Linked DNA regions of Struthio camelus. The protein of the gene in region 1 purifies or fractionates together with the protein of each later gene. This does not show direct contact. Links are inferred from orthologs where the notes say so. Each region holds a gene or a part of one and is shown on either strand. Other genes may lie near its edges. The genes, in order: CHCHD4 and TIMM10.

Region 1 (3,914 bases):
TAAAACAGTTGTTGGTTCAGAGGACCACATACAGAATGACAATTCGACAAGTATTGACAGGAATGCTGCTAAAACTTGTAAGAGACTTAGAAATAAGACCTATAAAAAACATCAACAGAAGTTCAAAAAGATTAGGTAATAATTCTTCTATAAGGAAAACAATAAGATAAACAGATCCTGTTTATCCTCTTTGTACCATACTCACATACCTGTAGGAAATTATTCTCAGTAGCCAATAGGAACAGAAAAAAAGACATAACTCAGTAGAGTGATTTATGATAAATGTTTCAGTTAGGCATTACAACTAGATGTCGAGGGAGATGGGGACAAGTTCTCATTAAACAACATGCAAGATAAAACAAGTACTCATTTCAATGGGAGACCATAATCTGCTATCAGGACTCACAGTAGTAGGAAAGGACTGCATACCATTTTTGAGTTGTGGCAGCATTTGAGAGACACCTCATAGTATTTTGAATTTTAAACCCTCCTGACCTAAAGTAGTTAGGACAGTGGGGCCAACATAGTGCAATGACAGGTGCTGGGAGCAAACAGCCCAAAATTAGATTTCTTAAGCAATGCTAACTAAATATGAAGCCACAAACACTAAATGCACAGAAGAAAACTATGAAAGTAGCAGCCTCACTCTTGGTACACAGAAAAGGGTACAAAAAAAAAAGATTAAATGAGTGCTTTAAAACTATTTTAATAGTCTTAGAATATATTATAACAAATCATCCATTTACTTGCCAAAAATATAGAAGCTAACTGAAATTTTATTGCTCTAAAGTTCTAATTTTCACAGCAACATACTGTAATAGCTGCAGATCACAGAACAGTTCATTGAACAGTGAAGTTAAAAAGCTGTTTCAAAACAAGCTCAGACAACTACTCTCTTACATGGACTAGGAAAGCGTTCAGTAGGATATTCCTTAAGAACAGTAGTCTACCTTTAGACTGGTGGAATTACCTGGTGTAATATTTTATAATAGTGATCTGGAATAAAGAATGAAGTCCCTAAGTGCAGAACCAATTATATTGAAAGGTACTGTGAACATTATCAAAGACAGAAAAACAGCGCAGTGTATTTCCTGCTCTCATGCCACCCTTTATTGAACAAAGAAGTTCTGTAGGAAAAAAAGATTTAGCTGAAAGCCAGGGAAGAGTTTCCTAACAACCCTGTAAGACTACAGGGAAATCTTCTAAAGGCTAGCTCAAAAAGAAAAATGTAACACACAACCAGAAAAGAGCATCTCGCTGAAACTCTTCTGAACGCACAACTGATTATTCATTGAGTAGAAAGAAAATGGTAAGTTCCCCAAGATCTTCCTTTCATTCTCCAAATTCTGAAAGGCCGCTGCAGTGACTCAGTATATTAGAAGTTAGGATCTTCTTGCCTGTCAACATTACCTCAACCAGCAGATGTTCAAACACTCCCTTTAGTTTGCTTTGTAATCAGTACACATTTTAATGTTTTTAAAAGCAGATCAATCTAAATAGCCTAAAAAAAAGGGGGGGGAAGGTTTTTTTTGGTCAACTGTGTATTGTACTCCAGCAGACTTTACAACGCAGAATATTCAGTGATTTCTTAAATAAAAGGAACTAGAAAGATATAAACTCTAACCCCGTCACTATAATTGTTGTAATTTTGTAGAATACTATAAGAGAACTTACAGAGGGTCCTTGCAAAGGCCCAAGATGTTATTAAAATAAACAGTAAAACAAAACAAAGAGTGGCACAGGTTATAATTACTTTACAACCATACATGGTCAGCATTCAGTGTGTCAAAGTTTGCCATTTCAAAATGGCATTTCGAACTAGAGAACGGATTTTACCAGTTTGAAATTTTACATTTAGTCATTTGACATTAGTCAAAGGAGAACCCCCCCCCCCCTCAGGGCATCAGCTGGCCAAGCCTAATAAATAACATGACCCGTGCAACACAACACCTTGCACAGGCACAAAAGCATCAAGCCTCACACACCACGCTGCTCATCTACTGGGCTTTTTAATAAGGCAGCAAACTCCGGCTATTAAAGCTTGCAGAAGGTTAACCTCTGCTGGAAGCCACCGCTCCCCAGGGGAGCGCGCACGCCTCCGCCGCCTCACGGCCGCGCCCCGCGAGCTAAGAGCGGGGCCCGAGGCGCGCACACGCTCTGCTCCGGCCGCCGCCAACCGCCGCCTGCGGGGCGGCCTTTTCCCAACGCGCCCGCGGCCCCGCTCCGCCTCACCCCGCGGGGCCCCCAGCGGCCGCGCTGCCCCGCGGCCACCGCCCGCCGTGAGGAGAAAGGTCGGCGGAAGGCGGGCAGGGCCGGGCCAACGCCACACACAGCCCCCGGGCGGCTTTCTCGCCTCCTGCCGCCTCAGGCTGCGCCCTTCCCTCACGGGCAGCGGCGGGCGGCTGCGCGTTGCCCCATCACAGGCCCCCTCCCCTTGCCGCTGCTGCCGCCGCCTCAGGGCGAACCCGCCCGGCCTGACCCCGGCGGTGACATTGGGAGGACGCCCCGGCGCGGCCCGCACCTTCTTGCCTGCAGTACGACATGGCGGTGCGGGGCGGTGCGGTAGCTTCCCTCTCGGCGCGCGCGCAGACTGACCCCGCCGGCGTCCCGTTCCCGCTACCACCACAGCAACGGGCAGCGGCGCGCGGCTCCACGCTGTGACCTCCCGCCTCCGGAAGCGCCTTCCCTGCCCTCCGGCGGCCGCGGGCGCCCCTCCTCCCGAGCGCCGAGGCGGGAAGGGAACGAGCGGGTTCTGACTACGTATCCCGGCCTGCCGCGCGCCAGCCGGGAGGACTCTGTTTCCCAGCGTGCCCTGCGGCGTTTGGGAACTACGTGTCCCAGCAGACCCTGCGGCGGCGGCGCGGCGGCGGGCGGCGCTTTTCTGCCGCTTCTCTGAGGCGGGACCCGGCGAGGGGAAGACGAAGAAGATGTCGAGGAACGTGAGTGAGCGCTGATGGGTGGCGGTTTCCCCCGGGGGACCCGGCCGCGGAGAGGGGCCTGGGGCCGGCGGTGGGGCTGGTGCGAAGCCGCCGGGGGCTTCCCCGAGCGAGGCCTGTGGGCCTCCCCGCCGCCCTGAGCTGCGTGTGCTGCTCCCCAGTTGCTTCTCGGTTATTGCCCCTTTCCAAAATACACGCGTATAGAAACCCATGCGCTTTAACGCAGCACCCTCTAGGACAGGAACAACACTTTTGTGTTAAGCTAGCTCTCCTTTTGTGGCCCGAGGTGCAGTTATTCTAAAGGCGGTAGGCTCTTATCCTCTGGTGAGGTAAAACGTAGCTTGTTATTTATAGCGGTGTTGTAGCTGCTCTGGAATTCAGGAGTATTGCTCATTTTTTTCCTGGCCTGGCTGTGGGGCGTGTATGCAACAGAGAAGTCCGAGGGACAGGCTGAAGGAAGCTTTAACAAATGTTGGGCCAGTATATTAGCAATTTTTTTTTCTACCAAGCTTATTTAGTTCTATCGACTTTATTTATTGACTGTATTTCCACTATCGAAAGTATGACGAGACAGTTGCAAGTGAGGAAAAGCTTATGTCCGAGGAGAGAGGGGCTGTGCTGCGGAGTAGCAGTTTTAACAAAGCTGAAAGACTTATTTTGAAACAGAACGCCTTGCCCTTTTGTAGCAATACTGCATTTTTGGTTTGCCTCCAACAGTTCTCTGACACAGGCAGCAAAAAAGAACATGTCAAAATCACAAGCGAGTCCAAACCAGGGTTCCTGGAGAGGCTCAGCGAAACTTCTGGGGGCATGTTGATGGGACTTGTGACATTTCTTCTGTCTTTCTACCTTCTTTTTACCAATGAGGTAAGTGAAACACTGTTAATGTTTACGTTACTTTATAACATCGCAGCTGACGTGACATTCAACTAGTTTTGTATTTACAGGCTTACTATAATGATTGTGTTCAAACCTTAT
Region 2 (2,865 bases), on another chromosome or scaffold:
GACAAGGGGGGACAGGGACCCCCCCCCAGGGCCATGGGGACATGGCGGACATGGGGGGACAGGGACCCCCCCCAGGGCCATGGGGACAAGGGGGGACAGGGAACTCCCCACAGGGCCATGGGGACAAGGGGGGACAGGGAACTCCCCCCAGGGCCATGGGGACATGGGGGACATGGGGGGACAGGGACCCCCCCCAGGGCCATGGGGACAAGGGGGGACAGGGACCCCCCCCAGGGCCATGGGGACATGGCGGACATGGGGGGACAGGGAACTCCCCACAGGGCCATGGGGACATGGGGGGACAGGGACCCCCCCCCCAGGGCCATGGGGACAAGGGGGGACAGGGAACTCCCCCCAGGGCCATGGGGACATGGCGGACATGGGGGGACAGGGAACTCCCCACAGGGCCATGGGGACAAGGGGGAACAGGGACCCCCCCAGGGCCATGGGGACATGGCGGACATGGGGGGACAGGGACCTCCCCCCAGGGCCATGGGGACACACGGGGATGGGGGGTACAGGAACCCCCCCCCTGCAAGGCCATGGGGACTCGGGGGGACAGGGGAGGACAGGGAACCCCCCCACAGGGTCATAGGGACATGGGGGACATGGGAGGGACAGGGACACCCCCATAGAGCCATGCAGAAGGGGGGACATGAGGGGACCCCCCATGGGGCCGTGGGGACGCAAGGGGACGGGGGGGGACTGAGACCCCCCACAGGACCGTGGGGACACAGAGGGGACGGGGGGGGACTGAGACCCCCCCCCACGGGGCCGGGGGGGGCCGGGGCTCCCCGGACAGGCCCACGGGGCCGGGAGGACTCCGCGGAGGGGGCGGGGCCCAGCCGCGAGGGGGCGGGGCGCGCCTTCGCCAATCCCGCCCGCTGCTGCTCTGGCTCCGCCCCCTTCGGCGGGCAGCGCGAGCGTCCTCTCTATCCGCCGCCCTCACCGTCCCCCCCCCCCCGCCCCGCAACCCCGCTCCCTCTCTATGGCTGCCCCGCGCCGTCCCGCCCCCTCCTCCCGGCCCGCCCTATCCGCGTTGGGGGCTGAGCCCCTGCCCTCTCCGCGCCTGGCTCCTATTGGCTCCGCCGCGAGGCGGGGCGGTCCCGTGCCGGGGCGGAAGCGCGCGCGCGCGCCCCCACGTGGTTCCGGCCGGCAGCCGCCGCCGCCGCGGGGTGGTCGTGCCCGTGCCCGTGCCCGGCGCCATGGACCCGATGCGGGCCCAGCAGCTGGCGGCCGAGCTGGAGGTGGACATGATGGCCGACATGTACAACCGGTGGGGACCAGCGGGGCACTGGGCGGCGCTGGGGGACAGGGGGAGGAGCCCGGGGCTGGGGGGGCGTTGGGGGGTGCTGGGGGGCACGGGGGGTATTGGGGGGCTGGGGGTGGCTGGGGGAATGGGGGGCGCTAGGGGGCACGGGGGGCATTGGGCTGGGGGGTGCTGGGTGCTGTGGGACATTGGGGGTGCTGGGGGGCATGGGGGGTGTTGGGGAACATTGGGGGTGCTGGGGGGCATTGGGGGGCTGGGGGGTGCTGGGTGCTGTGGGACATTGGGGGTGCTGGGGGGCATGGGGGGGCTGGGGGGTGCTGGGTGCTGTGGGACGTTGGGGGGTGCTGGGGGGCATGGGGGGTGCCGAGGGCTGTGGGACACTGGGGGGTGTTGGGGTGCTGTGGGACATTGGGGGGGGTATGGGGGGCATTGGGGTGCTAGGGGGCACGGGGGGTGCTGGGGGGCATTGGGGGTGCCGTGGAACATTGAGGGGTGCTGGGGGGCATGGGGGACACTGGGGGGCATTGGAGGGTACTGGGGGGCACGGGAGGTGCTGAGGGCTGTGGGACATTGGGAGGTACTTTAGGGGGTGCCGGGAGGCGCTGGGGGCTCGGGGGACGCCCGGGTGACGGGTGCCGGCGCAGGATGACCCACGCGTGCCACCGGAAGTGCGTGCCCCCCCACTACAAGGACGCCGAGCTGTCCAAGGGCGAGAGCGTGTGCCTGGACCGCTGCGTGGCCAAGTACCTCGACGTCCACGAGAGGATGGGCAAGAAGCTGACGGAGCTGTCGCTGCAGGACGAGGAGCTCCTCAAGCGCATGCAGCAGGGCTCCGGCACCGCCTGAGCCGCCGGTGGGACACCCGCCCGGGACACCCTCTCCCCGCCACCCCAATAAACCCAGGTGTTTCGGAGCACCCTCGGCTCGCCGCGGCGTCACTCCGGGACGCGGGTACCACTGCAGGGCAGCGAGGCTCGGAGCCGGGGCGGCGGCGGGGGGATTCGCTTGTGGCTCGCAGGGGGTCGTGCGCACCCCAGCCGGGGGGGTGGCAGGGGAAGAGGTCTTTTCCTCGACCCCCTGAATCGGGATGAGCGGTGGTGCTGCCCTGGCTGTCCCCTGCTGTCCCCTGCTGTGTCCTTGCAGGGTGCACCCCTGGGTGCCCCCGCCCCGCCCCGGGCCCAGCCCTTATAATCCCCGGGATTAGGCAGAGCTGGCCTGAGCCCCATAATCCCCCGTAGGGTGGGCGCAGGGCGCTGTCTGAGCCGGCCCCGCTGGCCTGCAGGGACAGCCGGAGAGAGACACCCCCTGGGGACACCTGCGGGGACAGGCGCAGGGACAGCCGGAGAGAGACACCCCCTGGGGACACCCGGAAAGAGACACCACCCAGGGACACCTGCACAGAAGCAGCCCAGAGGTGCGTGTGTGCACACACACCGGGGGACACAGGCAGGGACACCCCCAGGGACAGCCAGAGAGAGACAGCCCAGGGACACCCCCATGGGGACACCTGCACGAAGGCACCCTGGAGACACACGCGTGCACCAGAGACAGCCGGAGAGAGACACCCCAGAGACACAGGCATAAGGGACAGCCGG

The links.
Region 2: the proteins of CHCHD4 (region 1) and TIMM10 purify together in Homo sapiens (co-immunoprecipitation; 4 studies listed by BioGRID and IntAct, with this or other methods). This does not show direct contact. The link is inferred for Struthio camelus from reciprocal best matches to the Homo sapiens genes CHCHD4 and TIMM10.

Annotation. Positions count from the first base shown.
Region 1 is NC_090955.1:9,006,283-9,010,196, forward strand, and holds the start of CHCHD4 (mitochondrial intermembrane space import and assembly protein 40), read right to left. Parts: upstream 2,788-3,914; 5' UTR 2,544-2,787; coding exon 2,522-2,543; intron 1-2,521. Other genes in the region: TMEM43 (transmembrane protein 43), read left to right, coding at 2,928-2,939, 3,654-3,803.
Region 2 is NC_090946.1:7,520,032-7,522,896, forward strand, and holds TIMM10 (mitochondrial import inner membrane translocase subunit Tim10), read left to right. Parts: upstream 1-1,098; 5' UTR 1,099-1,205; coding exon 1,206-1,276; intron 1,277-1,914; coding exon 1,915-2,116; 3' UTR 2,117-2,186; downstream 2,187-2,865.